3 linked regions of the Ovis aries genome follow. The protein of the gene in region 2 interacts with the protein of the main gene of each other region in a pairwise test. Links are inferred from orthologs where the notes say so. Each region holds a gene or a part of one and is shown on either strand. Other genes may lie near its edges.

Region 1 (7,033 bases), on a different chromosome or scaffold from region 2:
CCCTTGACCTCACACCCGCCTCTATCTGTTCCCCTGTTTCTCCACTTTGCTTTATTCCCGGTTTTCACAAGTATTATCTGTACAGGCTGTCTCTACTCACTGAGCAGTTTTCTCTTCCAGCTCATGACCAGGTCTGCTCTTGTCAAGGTCATTGTTCACCTACCTCCCCATGGCCAGATCCAGCAGGCATATCTGTTTTTATCTCACTCACAGCAACACACAGCAGAGCAAACCAAGCCTGCCTTCTTGAAACTCTCCTCTGGACTTCTCTGATATTTCCTCCTACCCTACTGGTTATTTGTCCTTCTCAGGAGACTTTGCTGAAGCCTCCATCTCTGTCTGAACCATACATGTTGGTGTTACTCAGAGCTCAATACTAATGCTCTTTTCTCCCCCAGGGGATTTCTGTCCATTGCCATGATTTTCAGAATCCTCTAGATGACTGCTGCAGAAGGTGATAATCACTGACACCTTCTGCCAGTCACTGTCCATAGTGTTACATGTAATACTCTTTTAATTCTCACACCAACCTTAAGAGGTATGTACTACTGTCTCCATTTTACAAATGAAGAAACTGAGGTACAGAGATTAAAGTCACCTTTTAGCAAGTGACAGAGTTGACATTCAGCCTTGGATAGGTGGGCCCCTAAGCCCATGTGTTAACCTGTGTGCAGTCCATGTACTGCAGTGACGCACAGCTCTGTATCACTAGACTGTACCTTTCCCCTTCAGACCCTTACTATACGTTCAGCAGCCCACTTATTATTTACTTGCATTTGTTAAAGATATCTCAGCTCTTCATCAGCATCTCCTCTACCACTATGAAAAACTATTCATCTCAGAAAATGATACCGTCATCTACCTAGTTATGTAAGCCAGAGACCCAGAGTCCTTGAGTCTGCGTTCCCTTCCTCCTCACAATGAGTTCATCAACAAGCCATGTTGGTTCTGCCACCATATCAGAATCTCTTAAATCGTTTGACTGCCACCATCCTGGTCTTGGCCACCAGCACCTACTTCCACTATTCCATTTTCTATAGATCAAGAATAATATTCTTAAAATGTAGGATTATATCACTTCCCAGCTCTTTAAGGGCTCCATTGTAAATAGGAAAAACTCTACACCAGGGGTGTGCTTGCATCAGTAGTTTTTAACCTGGATGAAACTTCTATTTCCCTTACCCACTGATAGACATTTGAATGTGTGTGGAAGAATTTTGGTTGTCAAGGTGGTTGGGAGTGTTACATTTAGTGAGTGGGGGCACACTGAAGAGAATCTGGCTGCTAAGACAGAGAAGCACTGCTCTCGTCTGCTAATCCTGTCGACTCCTAGCTTTCCTACTTGGGTAGGTAGTGTTGCCATTGAACAACAGGGAGGAAAGTCTGAGGAGAATACTTCTGGGTGGGCAAAGCGATGAATTCTCTCCCTAGATAGTAGTTTGAGGTGGTTTTGAGATATTCAGTCAGAGATACACAGTACCCATTGAGTGTATTAAGGCGTGATCTAGCTTAGAGGCACATAGTTAGCAACCGTTTCCACAAACATGGAGATCCTAATGGCAGGTGTTGGAGACTCACCAAGAAGAATGGTGGTTGAACTGAGAAGTGTGTCTGGAGGGGAGCTCCAGGGTTGACAGACGTTTAAGAGTCTGGCACTGGTATTTGGTTGTCTCCTTGTTTAATAGTGTATCTTGTATCAAAGCTAGTTGGATAGTTTTTATTTTTATTGATTGATAAGCAAATGTATGTGTCATATATTCATTGTTTAGCCTCCAAGTTGAATGATTTGGCATTTGTCAGCCCTTTAGGTAGGCCCTGGAATAGAAAATTGTTCTAGGGAATTTGTTTTACAATTTAGACCGGTTTGTGAGACCCAAGAACCTGTGCTTTGTATCTGTGTTGGTGTCTGTCCTGCCTAATGGGGACTGTGATTGAGGGTCATGGACATTCTCTGTCCTTTTGTCTGCACAGTTCAGCTCTCAGACCATGGAGAATGGGACTGCTCTTTGGAGGTGGGAAGCTCAGACATTGCTTCCTGTCTTCAGAAAATGTCCTTATGAGCCAAAGCAGTATTATTAAGAAGAAACATGATGATTCTCAGCCATGACTGGACATTAGAATAACCAAGAGAGCTTTTAAAAGTACTGACTGCAGGCCGCCAGCTTAGACCAAGTAAATCAGGGCCCCTAGGGACAAGGCCCAGACATGGATATTTTTTAAAAGCAGCCCAGATGATTTTAAGGTGCAACCAAGTTTAACAGTCTGGACTCTTGGTACAGAAAGTGTAGTCTGAAGACCAGCTCCCTTCCTTGGGGGTTTCTTAGCAATGCAGAATCTCAGGTCCCATCTGAGATCTTTCTAATCGGAATCCACGTTTTAATAAAATTTATTTGCACATTGTAGTTGATGAGCAGTGCTTTTTGCCAGTAGCTCTGGGCAGTGACTAAACATTAGAATTGCCTTTTTACATGGGAAGATTTTAAAAAGACTGATACCTCTTTAAAAAGAGATTCTGGGGTGGAGCTCAGGTATTGGTGTTTTAAAATAAGAGAGTCAAAAGTACAGTTAAGATTAAGAAGCTTTGTACTAGCGTTTGCTGTCTCTGAAGTAAAGAACAGGACTCCAAAGTTTAGGAGAGCAAGCAGAAGAGCAGCTTTTTAGTTAAAAGAGTTATAGCATTTTTCTGGCTGTTTTGTCAAACGACCTATTGACACGTTTTGATGATTTCTCTCTCATAGGCTCAAACTGTCCAGGTTGCTGAAGTTGAACCCCAGTCACAGCCACAGCCTTCACCAGAACTTCTGCTTCCAAATTCTCTGAAGCCAGAAGAAGGGCTTGAAGTGTGGAAAAACTGGGCACAGACCAAGAATGCTGAGCTTGAGAAGGATGCTCAGAACAGACTGGCACCCATTGGGAGTAAGTGTTCTGGAGGGCAGGGGGGTTGGACTGTGTGTGAAATGCAGTGGCACTGAAGCAGCAGGAGCACGGATGGCAGGAAAGTGTATCTCTTGGCTCTGGGCATGTGGGCGCTCCATCTGAAATAGTGTGCTGGATCCAAGACAAGAGGCAGGCTGGACCTGCTATAAACGAGCAGGATTTGTGGGGTGTGCCCAAGATCAGAGACTTCTGGGAGGAGATAGGAGCTGGTGAGTGTTCTTAGGGCGCCTCTTACTTAGCATTATCCTCATATACTTCCTCGTATTACAGAGGGTGGGTTTTGTGTTTTTGCTTTCATTTCGTGGCCCTAATAATTGGGGGATATGTGAGATGGGACGGGAACCCTTTTAGTAACAGGGCAAACAGGATTATTGTCTTTGTAGGTTAGTTTTGATCACAGATTCAAGTGATTGTTTTCACCCCAGCGCCTTGATGGGTGGTGGTGTCTGCTCTGTAACCTCCTTCCAGGGATATGAGAAACCAGTAAGGAAATGACTGTTGCCAGGACCCTCACTGACCTTTGGGACTTATGTTGTAGGGCGTCAGTTGCTACGATTCCAGGAAGATCTCATCTCCTCTGCTGTGGCTGAGTTGAATTATGGGCTCTGTCTGATGACACGGGAAGCTCGAAATGGAGAAGGTGACCCCTATGACCCAGATGTGCTGTACTACATTTTCCTGTGTATTCAAAAGGTAGGGAACCGAGCTGCGTAGGAACCTGTTTGCCTTGTGTTCCCATTGGGTATTTGCTGCGTAGTCAAATTAGTAATATGTCAAAAGTGGTAACAGTAAAGATACTCTCTTCCAACTATATAATGAGGTTTTAAATGTACATTTTTTAAAAGTTGGAAATGTTTTTAAATGTACATTTTATTTTTAAATTGGAAAAGATCTACATGTTCACTTTAGAAAATCAGATAATAAAATAATCCCTCAATCTAGAGAAATGTTTGTTAAAATATATGATATATTACATTAGAGACTTTTTAAAAAAAATTATGAAACATTTATGTAACACTTTTTGTTAAAGTAAACATCTAGTTTTCAGAAAAGCAATTTTTCCAGAACAGTCTGGTGCTGACATATAGTTCATTTTCTCATTGTTTCCTGCATTAATGCAAAATAATTATTTGAAAGAGTCTAGCTAAAATATACAACTGTAGTTAGGTTTTCAGGATATCTAAGATGAAGATGAACAGGGAGATTCATTTTAGGACCAGCAGTTTCAGAGACCAGATGGGGATTTCCTGGTGTTTGAATGCTATTGTAGAGAAGCCCGTGGTGTGATGGAAGAACACTTGCTGACTGGGACTCACCCTGTTGCTTGGGCCCGAGAAAAACCCATCTCCCATTTTGTTAGTCTGTTTTAGCAGTCACTGGGAGCACTGGGTGAATTAGTGTATGTGCTTTGTCTCATTCCATGCTCTCTCACTCATGCAAGGCAGGCATAGTCATCTCCAGTTACACACAAGGACACTGAGCCCCCAAAGTTACAAGACTCAAATGAGTTACATAACTTACACCGTAGCTGGTAAGAGACTGGCCCTGGAGCCTGCATCATGCTTTTTTGCTACCATAAGACAGTGCCTTGCTTGGGTGAAGTAGCATTCATGAAATCTGCTCCATTGGCCAACTCTCAAGAGTGTTGTGAGAGTTAGTTCCCATCCTGAAGTATGCTGTGGAAGTGCCGCGCACTGGGCGGTTTTGACTCAGTGTGCTGGTTGGTTAATGGGGGACGAACGGGTAGGGAGATGTGAGGGTACTGCTCGTAATTGTTTGCTTCCCTCAGCATCTTGTCAAGAGTCTACCAACAGCTTTTATTGATTATTTTCCTTTTAGTATCTTTTTGAGAACGGACGGGTTGATGACATTTTCTCCGATCTTTATTATGTTCGATTCACGGAGTGGCTGCATGAAGTTCTGAAGGACGTTCAGCCCCGAGTCACTCCACTTGGTAAGAATCTTCCTAGTCCTTGGATGTCTTTTGAACCTGGGTTTAAAAAAGATAAGCTGCTTGTGTGGCTTGCTGTGATAATAGCATGTGGGTGAGGAGGCTGTAAATCGCAGGCCCCAGCGTCGGTCTCTGTGCTGCTTGGCTCAGTATGGAGGGGCATGGCTCACCAGAGCTGTTTATTATAATTTTTTAAAATAATATATTCTTTAAGAGCAGTTTTAGGTTTACAGGAAAACTAAGTGGAATATACAAGGAATTCCATGTATTCCATCACACTGTGTCTCCCCTGTTATTAGTATCTTGTATTAGTGTAGTATATTTGTTAACATCGAGGAGCCAGTATTTGATACCTTGTTGTTAACTTAAGTCTGTAGTTTACATTAGAGTTCTGTTGTATATTTTGTGGCTTTTGACAGTGTATAATATGTACCTACAATTCAGTATCACATACAAGTTTTGCTGCCCTCAGATCCCCAGGGTTCCACTTAATTCGTCCCTCCCTTTATCCCCCTGAATCTCTGGCAACCTCTGATCTGTTTTACTGTCTCCATAGTTTTGCCTTATTCAGAATGTCATATAGTTAGAATACTTTAGTATTAATTTCTTTCACTTAGCAATATACGTTTAATGTTCCTGCATGTCTTTTCATGGCTTGATAGCTCATTTCTTTTTATTGCTGAGTAGTAGTCCATTTTATGAATGTGCCACAGTTTGTTTATCTGTTCACCAATTAAAGGACATTTTGGTTGCTTCCATGTTTTGGCAGTTTATAAATAAAGCAGCTGTAAACACTGTGTGCAGGTCTTTGGTGAAAGAACAGACAGATCCATGGGACAGAGTATAGAGTCCAGAAGTAAAGCCCCATGAGTGTAATGAATTTATCTTTGACTAAGGGGCAAAGGCAGTTAAATGGAGAAAGGATAGTCCTTTTTTCTTTTTCTCTGTTTTTTGGCTTTACTCTGCGGCTCATGGGATCTTAGTTCCCTGACCAGGGATTCAACCCGGGCCATGTAGTGAAAGTGTCGAGTCCTAACCACTGAACCTCCAGGAAATTCCCAGGATGGTCTTTTCAAGTAACACTGCTGGAACAGCTGGACAACCACACATTGAAAAAAAAAAAAAAAGAATCATAGACCCAAATGTAAAACTATAAAACTCCTAGAAGGTAAAATAGAAACTCTAGGTGACGTTAGGTCTGGTGGTAACTTTCTAGGTACAACATAAAAAGAATAATGTATGAAAGGAAAAAAATTGGTAAGTTGGACTTTATTAAAAATTAAAAAGCAAAAACTTATGCTCTCTGAAAGGCATTATTAAGAGAATGAAAGACAAGCCACAAACTGGGAGGAAATCTTGACAAAACACATACCAGACAAAGGGCTGATATCCAAAATTTATAAAGAACTTTTAACAGTCAACAATAACAAAGAAAGAACCTTTACCTGTTTTTTAATCTGAACACATGATTCACCAAAGAAGGTGGCAGATAAGTATATGAAAAGATATATATCATCAGTCAGTTGTAAATTAAAACAGCAGTGATGGGAGTTCCCTGGTGGCCTGATGGTTAGGTTTCGATGCTTTCACTGCTGTGGCCTGGGTTCAGTCTCTGGTCGGGGAACTGAGATTCAGCAAGTGGCTTGCATAAATATTGATACATATGTGCATGCATACATGGATACAGTGATATAACATTATATGCCTGTTAGAACGGCTGAATTCCCAAACATGTTACCTTAGGATGCACCAGTCATGCTTCTTCTTCTTTACCCAGATGACGTAAAAACTTATGTCCACACAAATATCTGAGTTCTAATCCTGGCTCTGCCATTTAATGAAATGTATACTGACTGAGATAAAATTGGCGTAGCAGTTTCAGGTGTAGAACAGTGACTTGATACAGTTGGTGTATACTGTGAAAGGATTTAGTCTAGTTATCATCTGTCATCGTGATTACTGCTTAAGTGTTAAAGTATCATTTAAACAAATGCCTTTTGAGTGCCTACTGTGTGCCAGGCAGTTCCAAGTGTAGATTATACAATTCAGTAGTGAAAAAATGGAAGTTTACAGTCTAATATGGGGAGACTGTATAAATAATCAAGTTAATTTATGATAATTAAGTACTTCGAAGGACAAAGCACA
Region 2 (6,596 bases):
TTCACTGAACTGGCATGTGGTCCCTGACCTCAGAGACCTTTGTTGTATGCTGGCATAAGGAGGCACAAAAAATAAAATCCTGTTTCCTGTCATCCAACAGTACCCCGAGACTTCCCTTACGAAGAGGATTCACGACCTCGCTCACAGTCTTCCAAAGCTGCTATCCCTCCCCCAGTGTACGAGGAACAAGACAGACCCCGATCCCCAACCGGCCCTGGCAACTCCTTCCTCGCCAACATGGGGTAATGGTCCGGGCACTTGCGCCTCGGCGGGTGCAGGGAGGGTGGGACTCTAGGGGGGCAGGGGTGGTGTGGTCAGACCTTCCAGTGGATGCAGCGCGTTTGGAGATGAGGGCTTTAGCGGGTTTACAAGGAGAGCGTGGCATGCTCAGTCACACGGATCAAGGCTTGAGTCACTGGGAGGGTATTGCAGCACCACCCTGTTAAAAAACTTTTGTTACAAGCTTTCTATCAGAAGTGTTGAGTGATTAGGATGCTGAACATTATATTCTCTAGGTAGGAACAGTTTCTGATTGTTATCTATAATTGTTTTCAGAACATTTGCAAATAAACAGCTCATACGAATTAGACCTGACTTACACTATGTCCAAAAGATGAATGACATCCTTTTTTTTTCTTGATAAAATGACCTTTGCTTTAAGGTCATGAGTCTATTATACTTTTGGTATAAAAACTTTCAGTTATTCTACTTATAATTAGAAATTTGTTTGCCAGTGTTTGAAAATCAGTTTTAAGGTTGACTTCGGGTGGGGCTTGTGGGGCTTTTTAGGACTTGCTGGATTTGGCATGTGTTTTGGTTAAGAGAGTGTTGTGTATTGTTTATTCCGCTAGCACTCTGGGGGGTGGCAGTGGAGCAGCGTTGCGCTGAGGCCTTTGCTCTCTGTCCTCTAGAAGGAGGGCGCCTCTGATGGAGAGGCTGTGTCTGCAGAGGCCTCTCTGGTCTGCCCTCGCCTATGTGAGCGCTTTGATTCTGCCTTCGCTCCTTCGGGGCCGGGCTGGCCAGAGCTGAGGAGCGGGCCAGGGTTCTTCACACGCTGTGAGAGGATTTGGAGTTCTCATCTTGATACCTGTCTTCTTGACCTGTGCTGTTCTCTGGGGGCTCCTGGCCACTCAGGGCTCTTGAAGTAATTGAACGTGAATAGAGTTCAGCATATATTTCTTTCCTCACGCTAGTCTCGAGTGCTCAGTAGCCACACAAAGCTCACAGCTACTGCCCTGGGCAGTGCAGACAGAGGATGTTCCCCTCATTGGAGAGAAGCCTGTTGGGCTGTCCTGGAGTGTACTGAAGGGGCACAGGCGTGACATCACTGGGGGCTGGTTTTGTTTTTTTGCTGGTGAAAAAAATTGCCTTATTACTGGCAAGAGAAAGGTATTAAATCTTTATGCCTAAAGAAGGTACAGTATAGTACAGTTATCAGTCTTCAGTCTTTTTAGCCCTGGAACAACTTGTTCAAATGAAATATTTAAGGAAATTACGTATGTGAAAAACGTAGGTAAGGTCCGTCTAGTCCAGGCTATGGTTTTTCCAGTGGTCATGTATGGATGTTAGAGTTGGACTGTGAAGAAAGCTGAATGCTGAAGAATTGATGCTTTTGAACTGTGGTGTTAGAGAAGACTCTTGAGAGTCCCTTGGACTGCAAGGAGATCCAGCCAGTCCATCCTAAAGGAGATCAGTCCTGGGTGTTCATTGGAAGGACTGATGCTGAAGCGGAAGCTCCAATACTTTGGCCACCTCATGCGAAGAGTTGACTCATTGGAAAAGACTCTGATGCTGGGAGGGATTGAGGGCAGGAGAAGGGGACGACAGAGGATGAGATGGCTGGATGGCATCACTGACTCGATGGACATGAGTTTGGGTAAACTCTGGGAGTTAGTGATGGACAGGGAGGCCTGGCGTGCTGTGATTCATGGGGTCGCAAAGAGTCAGACACGACTGAGCGACTGAGCTGAACGGAACAGTTCGGGTTGAAGCAGGGTTTTGGGGTTCAGGCCCTAAGAAGCAGTGGTCAGTGCCCCTGAGGCTCCTCCCTGTGTAGTTTGAAAGCTGTTACTGATTAGAGGAAGAGCAGTGGACTAAGAATTCAGAGCTGCGGGTTTCAGTTTCAGTCCTGCTGTTAATACCAACATGTGGTGTCTTGCTTTGCTGTCAGTCAGCCTTAAGCGAGGCAGCCACTGTGGGCCCCAGTTTCTTTATTTCCATCTATTAAACAGATAGTCCTTAAGCATCCTTCATTTATGAAGCCAGTCATTGGAAACTCTTCTGTACTACTTAGAAAAATGCAGTCATCTTCATTACATGAGACTATACTTAGTTTTTGACAGGATTACTTAAATTGGTTATGAGCCTTGTAGCAGAGCAGGTACAGGGGCACCCAGGAAGTCTGGTATTTTCTAACAGAAAATGCAGTTCCCTGGGGAGCTCTTACCAGAGGAACTAGTGTTTCCTTCACCTCAGAGGTAATCTCAGTGCACCCAGGATTCCAGCATCCACTTTTTAATCTGTCTTCTGAACATCCCACAACTTCTGTCTCTTAGCCCGTTAGTAGATAAATGGCATCATCAACGCCCTTGTGGAATCTACATTCTCTCCTCCCGGAAGGAGATTACTGTGATGTAAAATCCAATCTGTGCTGTAGCTGATGGCCCAAGTACAGGGACCTTTCTCCTTTTCCTCCTCGCAGGGGCACGGTAGCACATAAAATCATGCAGAAGTATGGCTTCCGGGAAGGCCAGGGTCTCGGGAAGCATGAGCAGGGTCTGAGTACAGCGCTGTCGGTGGAGAAGACCAGCAAGCGGGGCGGCAAGATCATCGTGGGCGATGCCACCGAGAAAGGTGGGCCTCCCCTCGGGCAGGGCTCCTGGGGGTGTGGGCGGGGGCAGGCCATCCTGAATGAGAGAATTCCTCATCGTGATGCCTTCCAGCTCTGGGTGGTGGAAACAGTTCTGAGGCCCATCTTTACAAATAGTTCAAGACAGAGAGACAGAACGCCTGTGGGAGGAAAAGAAGACGAGAGGCTTTGGCAGCAATGAACAGGACTCCAGAAATCCTGTCATGCCTGCTTCTCCTCGGGAAAGAGCCTTGTTATACTGATAGAACCGTTACTGAGTTTTTATAGCAACGCAGAGCCATACGCAGTATATCAGTAATTCTTTCTGCTGTATCTCTATTCTGTAAGGGTTCTCTGCTTTTTGCTTTTTTCTGCCCTTTCATCCTAATTTTCTTACTGACTGCTCTGTAAAACTAGCATTATTTTGCAGTCTTCTGGTAGGTGATGCCTGCTTGGTGTTCTATTTTCATTTGACTGTTACAGTCTGTTCTGTAGTGAGGGCACGCTGGAATGAGTCAGGCATGATTTAGCACTTCAAGCAGGAGAACTCCGTAGTTTTGAATCAGTCTTAGCTGAATGCTTTTTCCTGAAGAAGGAAGAGAACTTTCCTGCCAGGCATGTTGACGTCGAGCTTGAAGCAGCACTAAGCCTCACAGGCTGGAACCAGAAACCAGCAGTCAGCCCAGTCTGTGGGGGTATTTGACACTGGTCAGCTCACGGCTGGCTGATGAACTGCTCGTTTACACTGGGCTCACGACCTCTGACCACTGCCTGAGTCAAGACTCGCTTCTGAGGGTGGTGATCACTGTGCCCTGTTGGCCCTTTAGGAAGTGAGCTAAGCAAAAATGCACCTGAGGATATTAAAAAGTTCTAGAATTTATGGTAAAAATTATACCAAAGTAAAGTGATGCTTTCGGATAGGAAAGGCTACATCTTGGCTCAGAGACTGTGTAGATGCTGGCTCTAGGACATAGAGAGTGGGGATTGGTGTTCAAAGTAAATTGCTCGTTGTAACTTAGACTTGGTGCCCTGACACTTCTGTCTGATGATGTTTTCTTACAGACGCAGCCAAGAAGTCAGATTCAAATCCATTAACTGAAATACTTAAGTGTCCTACCAAAGTGGTCCTACTCAGGGTAAGGAGCTGAGGGAGGAGCCCTGTTTGCCCTGTGTCCCTCCCCCCACCCTGTCCCTGCAATCAGTCAGCCCGGCTGATGATGGGATAGCTGAAGCGAACTGAAGGTGGTAATTGTGGGAAGACTCCCTGGAAGACTGGTTTTTAGATTCCTTTTCACTAGTGTTTCTTTGCTAAACATTAGTATTTAAGACTACAGTGAGAAATTACTTTAAAATGTTTGAAGTTGTCAGAAATTCAGCTTGGTTTGTGTATTCTGGTGCTTGCCCAGTTGCTCTGGTAACTCTTATTGAAGCCTAATGTATATTTTTTAATTTTTTTAAAAAAACTAACCTACTTCAGGATATTTCAGGAATGAAAATTTTCTTTGAATCATTTGGGTTTGGAAACATTTGCCATCTTGGAAAAAAGTTACTTATACATCTCTTTGACATAGTTGTCAATTATACTCAGTACTGGAATTTATATGTTTATTTTTGTTTCTAGAACATGGTTGGTGCAGGAGAGGTGGATGAAGACTTGGAAGTAGAAACCAAGGAAGAGTGTGAGAAATATGGCAAAGTTGGAAAATGTGTGATATTTGAAGTAAGAGAGATTTCTTTGTTTATAACCCAAGTTATGATTGATAGGTCACAAAGCATTTTCTGTAAATAGAGGATGCATTGTAAGTAACATACTGTCTTTAGAAGGTGACATGTGTTGGTTAGTTATACTGCTTTTACTCAGTTATTGCAATTTCAGATATTAGCATAAGAAGAACTTCAAATTTTATTTGGTGAAGAGACATTTCATTTTGTGACTGACGTTTAGACTTGATGACAGTGGGCTCAGTAGTTTACTGACGGGCGTCACATGTGCCTTGGGCTTCCTTCTTTTGGCAGGTATTTTATGTAGTGCCTCCCACATACCGGTACTGACTGTCCTGGGGTCAGGGAGGGGCCTCCTGTGCTCTCGGTGACACACTCAGTTGAAGAAACATGAAGTTAGAGAGTGTTCAGTTGCTAGACTCAACACTGACTTACAAGTACAGGAATTTGAGAGAAGACTTAGATCAATACCGAATAGTTGGAGGAGGCTTTGTGAACAGTATCAGATGTGAGCGGAGCTTTGGACTGTGTGCGTAGGATTTGGGTAGGAGGGAACGGGCCTTCACATAGGGTCATGGCTTCTGGAGACTGGGGAGGGCTGCACGGTGGTGGGTGTGGTGGGGATTAGCTTACACAGTGCAGCAGGGCCTAGAAAGCTTAACAGAGGAACTCAGCCTGGTATGAGAGACAGCATACAGATGTTTTATTTTAGTTCCTGCTCACCTCAGCTTCTCCTCCATGCTGGGTTGCGTCTGTTGACTGCATAATTATCTGTTCATGTGTCTGATGGCATAGGACCTGCAGAGGTCTTGTTTAGCTGCCTTTTGCTCGCACTTAGCACACAGCCTGTCCAAAAAAAAGACGTTCAGTGAATTTTGATGACAAGTAAATTACACTTAACTGGAAAAGGAAAATGGCAACCCATCCCAGAATTCTTGCCTGGCAAATCCCATGGACAGAGGAGCCTGGTGGGCTACCGTCCATGAGGTCACAAAGAGTTGGACACAACTGAGTGTGCACATGCACACACAAACGCAGATTACACTTACGTCTTTGGCATTTGAGCACTGCTTGTCTGGAATTGGAACACTCACTCTGACAAAAATCATTTTACGGAGGAAAACTCACAGTCCGTGACATCTCTGATGATATCTTTACTTACTGTACTCCATTTCTTTTCCAGATTCCTGGTGCCCCTGATGATGAAGCAGTACGAATATTTTTAGAATTCGAGAGGGTTGAGTCAGCAATTAAAGGTAAGCTGTACAGCTAATGATGAAGAATTAAAAAGTTGAACTTGTGATCTTAATATTTTGAAGACATACTGTTGTAATGTCTCGTGGAATTCCTGCCTTAACTAACTGTCTTTTTGTTTGCCTTTTAGCTGTTGTTGATCTGAATGGGAGGTATTTTGGTGGACGGGTGGTCAAAGCATGTTTCTACAATTTGGATAAATTCAGGGTCCTGGATTTGGCAGAACAAGTTTGATTTTAAAAACTAGAGCCTGAGTCATCTCCAGCGGTCCTTCATCGAGGTGCAGACTGAGCAGAGAAGAGCAAGGCGTCAGGGGCCTTCATGGCTGTGGGTGCAGAGACTCTGTAAGACTTCTAAGATATATGTTGACTGATCCCTTTTTTATTTTGTGGTTTTTTAATATAGTATAAAAATCCTTTTAAAAAAAACAAACAAAAAGCAATCTGTGTGCCTCTCTGGTTGTTTCTCTTTTTTATTACCACTTCTGAGGTGATTACATTTTTGGCTAGGATTTCATGATAATTCTCAAGTGCTTCAGTGATACAGCATTTCTTGCACTTAAAAAAAAAATCTAGAAAGTTTTGGTGGGGTAGTGTTCCCCTTTTCTTTCTTTTTTTGATTTCTTTTCATAAAACCTGCAAGTTACTAAACTGTAGCTTCATAAATTCTGTAATAAAGTACCATCTTGGCAGTCTGCCTAAGGTGGAAACCTCTGCTTTCTCTAACAGAGAAATTCTTATTGACTCCAGTTATAGAAAAAGCTCTTTACAAC
Region 3 (7,601 bases), on a different chromosome or scaffold from region 2:
AATTTCAAAGCCCATTGGCATGAGTTTAAGGACACGGCGGATATGTTCGTGTGTTGAAAGTCACAGCAGGTCAGCCACGGGGTGCCTTTCTCAATATAATTCTCTCTCTTTTTAACAATTAATTAATAGGTATTTATTTTGGCTGTTCTGGCTCTTCACTGAGGTGTGGGTTTCTCTAGCTGCGGTTCGTGTTCTCAGTACTTGCTGTATGTGGGATCTTAGTTCCCCGACCAGGGGTCGAACCCATGTCCCTTTCACTGGGAGCATGGAGTCTTATCCACTGGACCACCAGGGAAATCCTAACAATATAATTCTCTGTTAAATGTAAAAGGTTCCTTTGTGCAAAAAACTCTTTCAAGGTCAGTTAAAATAGAAATTAGAACTGACTTCTACTATGCTTACCCCTGTTTTCTCACAGAATAGAGGAGTCGACTTGATACTTTGTGAATGTCCTGTTGCATCCCTTTATCCAAACCATCTTTATGAGGTCAGTTTTTCTGCCTCTTGCAGGGAAAAAGGGAACATGTTATCTTTCCAAGGCTATTTTCACCAGCTGTGAGGTTAAGCATCAACATTCCAGTGCTAGCATTGAGAGAAAACAGCAGGCTTGAGAAGTGAAAAAAAAAACCAAACCCCTCACCGTGGAAAAGAGAAGGGCAGAAGAGAATTGTAATGAGTAAAATATAAAAATGTCTGTACAGAGCCAACGTCTGCCTACGAGACAGGCCAGGTACACCGTTGCAACAGCTCCTGGAGGCAGAGATGAAGAGATTAAGCCTAGGTCCTCGATCAGACCCCACAGTTAGGAAGTGTCAAGAGACAAGATCAAATCCAGGAATGCCTGTACCAGAGCTGGGATTCTTATCCATTGCAGTAGAATAGAATGTGGTAAACAGAGGTTCAAGTCTAAACGCAGCAGTCAACCTAAAGATTGCTAACGAAACTTACAGTGGGAGCATGTCCCATAGTAGGTTGTGTAGGTTGAGCAGATACTCTAACCTGTGTCTCCTGTAAATAAAAATCATAAAACTATAGACATATTTACATCACAGCTTATAGACACAATGAACACAAGCTTCCAAAAACAGTATACACCAGGCTACAGACACAACCACAAAGACACACATCACAGTTATGCACAGGTCAGGAAGACCCTCTGGAGAAGGCAATGGCAACCCACTCCAGTACTCTTGCCTGGAGAATCCCACGGACAGAGGAGCCTGGTGGGCTACAGTCCACGGGGTCGCAAAGAGTCGGACACAACTGAGCGACTTCACTTTTTACTTTAGAGAGACACAGATAACCGAAGACACCCTAACAACATACACACCATTCAAGCTGCCTGAAGAAGAAGGTGGGTGTATACGTTGAATGGGAAGTGTGGGATTGAAAGGGCTACACATCCCCAAAGCCACCCGAACTGCTATTCCTTTTGTATCCATCCCAGTGGTCTCCAGACTTCACGGGATCTGTCCTTTATCTCTTAGCACAGGCCCAAGAACTTTAGAGTGGGTAGAGCTGATCTGACATCCCTTGGAAAACAGAACTCTTGCCTCTGTACTTCAGAGCCATTCTTTGTGATTTTCGGAGAAGGCAATGGCACCCCACTCCAGTACTCTTGCTGGAAAATTCCATGGACCGGGAAGCCTGGTAGGCTGCAGTCCATGGGGTCGCTAGGAGTCGCACACGACTGAGCGACTTCACTTTCACTTTTCACTTTCATGCATTGGAGAAGGAAATGGCAACTCCCTCCAGTGTTCTTGCCTGGAGAATCTCAGGGACGGGGGAGCCTGGTGGGCTGCCATCTACGGGGTCGCACAGAGTCGGACACGACTGAAGCAACTTAGAAGCCGCAGCAGCTTTGTGATTTTTATAGGTCTTTTCTCTAGTCTCGGAGTGTTTGCTTCCTTCCCAATGAAGATTAAGGTGCAGAGTACTTAAGACGAGGCTCACATCGTGCTTTATGATGTTATGTATGAGTCAACTCCCCCTCCACGTCCATTAAAAAGTCCTCGCCTTGGACTACAAATCCCAGCATGGCTTGCGAGGACGAGCAGCCCGGACTACATTTCCCAGACTGCTCCACGTCCCAAGATGGTAGCGAGTAGAGGGGAGGGCCGGTGAAGGCTCTGAGGAGCTGTTATTGCGGATCCTGCCTCTTGAGTTCCCTTCTTGATGTAACCCAGGAGTTCCATCAGGGACTTGGGGTGCTTTGGACCAACCGTACCTTTAGGGTCGTGGCCCCGAGTACTACGTTTCCCAGCGTGCCCAGCGGCCGATTGCCGTGACCTTTGTACCGTAATTTTTACTTCCCAAGGTGCCCTGGGCGGTCGCCCAGGGATTTTCTTGGTGTAAGGGTTGAGAACTCAATTTCCCATAGTATCTGGAGGTTCTCAGGACCTAGGGAATCCATTCATTTATTCATTCATTCAAAATCCTCTTCCCGATCGCGTTTTATTAGGTCTCGGCAATGGGAATAGGGATGCACAAGACGACAAAAATCCCTGTTCTCCAGGGGCTTATTTCTAGTTGAAGGGATAAGACAAACCCAAAATAAGTAAGTCACATGGTATGAGGAAAGCGGTAAGGTGTATGGAAAAATTAGTTCTGTATTTTTTAGGACTCCCGGGTTATCAAGTCTGTTTCCCGCTTGGGTTCCTTGATACTGTGAACTACATTTCCCACATGCCCCGGGGCACATATCCGGCCTTTAGACTACATTTCCCAGCACCCCCAGGGGCATCCTCTTAATCAGATTTCCTTTTGAAACTGCTGAGCCGCGAATTTCCCAGTGTGCCTCGGGGCAGATCGAGGCCGGAATGTGGCCGAGACCGTTGTCCGCTTGTGGACTCCGTTTCCCAGAGCGCCCCGCGGCCTTCTCTGAGGCTGTTGCCACGACCTCTCCCGACTGCGGACTCCATTTCCCAGCGCGCCCCGGGGCGGCGTGGTGACGTCACGCGCCGGGCGGGTGCCGGTAGATCCTTGGGCGGCGCGGGGCTGGCGGCAGTTCCCGGCGGCCCGGGGGCGGGCGGCGGCGGCGGCGGCGGCGGCGGCAGCAGCAGCAGCAGCTTGGGGCTCGGTGCTCGCTCGCTCGCTCGTTCGCTCACGGGCGGGCGGGCGGCGCGATGTCGGGCGAGGACGGCCCCGGGGCGGGCCCCGGGGCGGCGGCAGCAGCGGCCCGCGAGCGGCGGCGGGAGCAGCTGCGGCAGTGGGGGGCGCGGGCGGGCGCCGAGCCGGGCCCCGGGGAGCGGCGCGCCCGCACCGTGCGCTTCGAGCGCGCCGCCGAGTTCCTGGCGGCCTGCGCGGGCGGCGACCTGGACGAGGCGCGCCTGATGCTGCGCGCGGCCGACCCCAGCCCCGGCGCAGAGCTGGACCCCGCCGCCCCGCCGCCCGCCCGCGCCGTGCTCGACTCCACCAACGCCGACGGCATCAGCGCCCTGCACCAGGTCAGCTCCCGGGTCTGCGCCGCCCGGAGCACCCTCCCTCCCCGGCCTGGAGGCACCCCGGCCGGCCCTGCTCTGCGCCGTCGTCCGCGGCGGACCCCCATTCCCCTCCGTCCCACCTGGGGCTCCCCTCTCCCGACCCTGAGCCGCTGGAGCTGACGCTGGCTTTTGCCAATCTGAGCCGCCCTTTCCTGGCCCCGAACCGTCGCTGCCGGCCTCAGCGCGGTGCATCCCCGTCTTGTCACTTCGCTGTGCTCTTTCCCGACCTTGGGGGCTCTCTGCGAGTCTCGCCCGTGCGATCGCCACCGGTGCCACCTCGACTCTGCCATCTGGAGTTGGGCCTCCCTCTTTCCTGAGTCTGTGCCCCTTGTAGCCCCACCGGTGCCTCCTGTTCCCCCATAGGTACCACTGCCCCACCCTTCCACCCCCATCGCCGTCCTCCCTGCCTGTGTTCTCCCTGGCGCCCGGCCTCTCTGCGTGGGGCCGCCTGTCATCCCTGCCCGTGCCATCTGTTGCTATCTAAGGGTGTTCTTTCCTGAGCCCCCGCCTTCGAGGCTCTGTACTCCTGAAGTGGGTGCTTCCCTTGCCCGGGTCAGCTCAGGCCGTCTCCCCTGCCCCCCTTTACCCTCATGCCCTCCGTCATTTATCTTTCTGGGGCTGTGCCACCTCTTGCCTCCCAAGGCAAGGCCTTCTCCCAGGGGTGTTTCTCCTCCAGGAACTTCCTCTCTCTCTCCTGTTGCTTTGGCCAGGCCTGCATCATCACCCCCCCTTTTTTTCTGGCACCCACCTCTTCCTGGCTTTGGGCTGCCTCTCTGTCCTCTGGTCACCTTGCATTCTCTGCCTGGATCCCCTCCTGTGAATCTGGGCAGCGCCTCCCTCCCGCAGAGTGTGTCCTCTCTCCCAGCCCCCATCTTGTCACCTTCTCAAGAGGTCCAGAGCCGGGTTACTCCCCTCTGTCCACAGCCTGGGCCCTCGTGCCTTCCCCAGACGCGCCGGCCACTGCCTTTGAGCTTCTTCTGTTCCAGAACCAGGCCCACCGTAGGCCCCACTAGCAGGGTTCCCTCTGGTTTGGGGTGCTCCTGTCGCCCCCCACCCCACCCCCCCTTTCTTCAGTGGGGCCATCAGGCACAGTTCACAGAGGACCCCTGTCCCCGAGGCTGTCTCCCTCCTAGTCTCCTCGAATTGGTCCAGTCCCCAACCCTCTCTTCCCTGCCGGAACCCCTAGGGTTTGGTTACTTTGGGACCCAGAGAGGACCCAGGGAAGGAAACCTGGGCAGGGAGCAGGGGGCTGCGGAGGAGGCCGGGAGGGCCCACGTGCCAGCTTCCCAGGAGGAGCAGCAGCTCAGGAAGGTAGGCCAGTCCTGAGCTCTGATCTCGGCTCCTCAAGTGAGTGGCTTTGAATGCGGGTCTTTTCTCTGTGCCTTGGGCTTCTTGCCTGTGAATGGGTTGGCAGGGACACCCTGCAGGAAGTGCCTGTCCAGTTGGTGGTTGCAGCCCCTGGCCCAGGTGCCGTCTCTCCCCCACCTGCACCCCCAGGCCCGTGCCCTGCAGGAGCCCCAGTGTAGAGGAGGGTCCCCCTTCCTGAGGTCCCGCAGGGTCTCAGAGCTCGACACGCCTGGGACAGGGGCCTCAGGTTTCCGAGTCCCCTTCCTGCACTGCCATCCCTGCCCCGGCTCCCTGGGGCCTTTCTGAAGGCGTTCCTGGCCCTACCTTTCCTGCTGGGTTGCGCTCCCCAGCTTGTCCCTTGGCCCAGACCCTGCCTGGCAGAAGGCCACCCTGGGATCCCTCTCGGCCTCCTGCTATAGGCAAGAGGAAGTCACTCGCCAGGGCTCTGCGGGAGGCCTGGAGGGGATCAGGGCATCCATCTGAGGCGCAGAGAAGGGGAGTCGCCCAGCCAGTGAGCGAGCAGGGGAGCGGGGCTTTGGGTCTGGGTGTTTGCTGACCAGCTTGTGCCAGTTTGCCCAAGACTGGCCTCGTTTTAGCTCAGAAAGTCCCAGGTCCCAGGAAACCCCCGGACAGGCCCGCGGGATAGTTGCTCATGTTGTCTGGGCGAGTCCGGCAGCCGTGGTTTCTGTTCCCCCTGGAGCAGGTCCCCTGGCATCAGCTCCCTGCTCTGGCTGTGACCCCAGGAGGTCTCACATCCCAGCCCCTACCCCTCGACAAGGTGACAAGGCCGGTATAGGCTGCCTCATCCCCAGATTACCTGGTAATTAGCAACTGGGGTCTGGGATAGGAAGGACTGTGAGCCAGGATTCTTAGGTGTAAATAGGGAGGGGGTCGGAGAGTCTAGGTTCCCTGGGTCTGAGGGGGGAGGGGTGGGGGGCCTGGACCCCCAGGTCTGAGGGGGGAGGGGCGGGGGACTTAGACCCCCAGGTCGGAGGAGGGTGGGGCCTGGACCCCCCGGGTCTGAGGGGGGAGTGGTGGGGACCCTGGACCCCCAGGTCTGAGGAGGAGGGTGGGGCCTGGATTCTTGGTCCCTGGGGCCCAGGACGCAGACATCTTTCGCACGGATGCCTGTGCCCGGCCAGGTCCTTGAAAGGGAAAGGCCTGTCTCCCTCCTTGCCCCCCCCCCCCATCACCATGGCAACTGGTGGAAATAAACGGTGCCCAGAGTTCATCCCGTTCCCAGGGCATGTGTGGCCCCCCTTTCGCAGCCTGAGTTTCCATGACTTCATGCTCTTGGCCCTCGTAGCTTCCTCCCCTTGCTCCAGGCGGCCGGCCGTGGAGAGGTGAGGGAGTCGGAGACTGATCTCCCCTGAGGACCCAGGAGGCCAGGTCCACTCCCGTTCCTCAGCCCTGCTCAGGCCCAGTGCCCGCCGCGTGTTTGCACGCGCCCTGGGCAAAACCCTTTCTCTGGCCCAGCCTGCTGCGCTAGCGCGGGCAGGGGCTTTGGTCTCCTGGGGCTGGGATCTCTTCCTCCATCAGAGGGGATCCTCACAGCCCTCAGTGGGGAAGGTGCCCGTGGACGCCCATGATGGGGGGCCCTGTGCCTCTCCTCGGGCCCAGGCCTGGGCACACCCTCTCTCAGCCGCCTCTCCCAGTGTCGGGGTCCTGCCCAGGGCCCTCACCACCGCCCCGCCCCACTCCCAGGTTCGCAGGGGCCTGGGGACCCCGCATGGCCTTGGGCCCCAGGGTCCGGCTGTCTCCCTACCAGGGACACGGCAGGGTGGTGGTCAGCTCTCCTGGAGAGTCTGCTGGGTCTGAGGAGGAGGGCCTGGGTCTCTTCCCTTGGGTTCAGCTCTGGGGGCCCATCCTCCATGGTGACTGGGGTGCGTCTCGTGAACAAGCATGGTTCAGGATCCCTACAGCTCCTCTCCTCTCTGGCCAGCTCCTCCTCTCACGGTCCCCAGTGAGCCCCAGAGGCCTGCCTGGCGTGGCCACCGGGAAGCCAGGCTGCGCAGGGCTGGGGGTGCCCTGCGGACATGGTGCCTTCCAGGGACCTTGGGGTCTTCCTCTGGAGCTTTGCTCGGTCGGCCCTGGGTCCCCCTCGAGGCCCTGGCGGGGTCCTGCCTTGCAAGGCACGCGGAGGGGTCCGGGGTGGTGAGGGTGACCCCCGACCATGCCCCCCAGGCCTGCATCGACGAGAACCTTGAGGTGGTGCGCTTCCTGGTGGAGCAGGGTGCCACAGTGAACCAGGCGGACAACGAGGGCTGGACGCCCCTCCACGTGGCCGCCTCCTGCGGTTACCTGGACATTGCCAGGTGAGGTGGGGAGGGTGGGCGGCCCGCTGGGCATGCGGCCCGGATGCCTCCGTCCTGACCGCGGCCCGCCCCTACCTCCCCAGGTACCTCCTGAGCCATGGAGCTAACATCGCTGCGGTCAACAGCGACGGGGACCTGCCTCTGGACCTGGCTGAGTCCGACGCCATGGAGGCGCTGCTGAAGGCGGAGATCGCCCGCCGAGGTGGGCCTGGGGCGGGGTGCGGGGCTCGTTGCCAAGGGCCCGGACCCCAGGGTCTCAGTGTGGCCTGGACCGTTTAACCCGAGAAGTCATTGAGGCAGGGCTTGGCTCGTTCTCGGGGTGACTGAGGAAACTGAGTTTGGCGCTTGTCCCGGGTGATGGTGGGTCTTCTCAGGAGTTGTGCTGCGGGGTGGGGGGCAGTGGAGGAATGCCGAGTCTTCTGGGGGTCTGGTCTGCAGTACTCGGGATCACTGCGCC

Evidence for each region.
Region 1: the proteins of RBM17 (region 2) and QRICH1 interact in binary tests that used the Homo sapiens proteins (3 or more experiments, as listed by UniProt). The two-hybrid records come from large-scale screens. The link is inferred for Ovis aries from reciprocal best matches to the Homo sapiens genes RBM17 and QRICH1.
Region 3: the proteins of RBM17 (region 2) and PPP1R12C interact in binary tests that used the Homo sapiens proteins (3 or more experiments, as listed by UniProt). The two-hybrid records come from large-scale screens. The link is inferred for Ovis aries from reciprocal best matches to the Homo sapiens genes RBM17 and PPP1R12C.

What each region holds. Positions count from the first base shown.
Region 1 is NC_056072.1:50,995,284-51,002,316, forward strand, and holds part of QRICH1 (transcriptional regulator QRICH1), read left to right. Parts: intron 1-2,738; coding exon 2,739-2,916; intron 2,917-3,475; coding exon 3,476-3,630; intron 3,631-4,776; coding exon 4,777-4,891; intron 4,892-7,033. UniProt on the Homo sapiens protein: Transcriptional regulator that acts as a mediator of the integrated stress response (ISR) through transcriptional control of protein homeostasis under conditions of ER stress.
Region 2 is NC_056066.1:10,893,603-10,900,198, forward strand, and holds part of RBM17 (splicing factor 45), read left to right. Parts: intron 1-100; coding exon 101-242; intron 243-2,701; coding exon 2,702-2,853; intron 2,854-3,910; coding exon 3,911-3,984; intron 3,985-4,469; coding exon 4,470-4,568; intron 4,569-5,753; coding exon 5,754-5,826; intron 5,827-5,954; coding exon 5,955-6,058; 3' UTR 6,059-6,596. UniProt on the Homo sapiens protein: Splice factor that binds to the single-stranded 3'AG at the exon/intron border and promotes its utilization in the second catalytic step. Involved in the regulation of alternative splicing and the utilization of cryptic splice sites.
Region 3 is NC_056067.1:63,067,735-63,075,335, forward strand, and holds the start of PPP1R12C (protein phosphatase 1 regulatory subunit 12C), read left to right. Parts: upstream 1-2,976; 5' UTR 2,977-3,125; coding exon 3,126-3,446; intron 3,447-7,013; coding exon 7,014-7,144; intron 7,145-7,227; coding exon 7,228-7,346; intron 7,347-7,601. UniProt on the Homo sapiens protein: Regulates myosin phosphatase activity.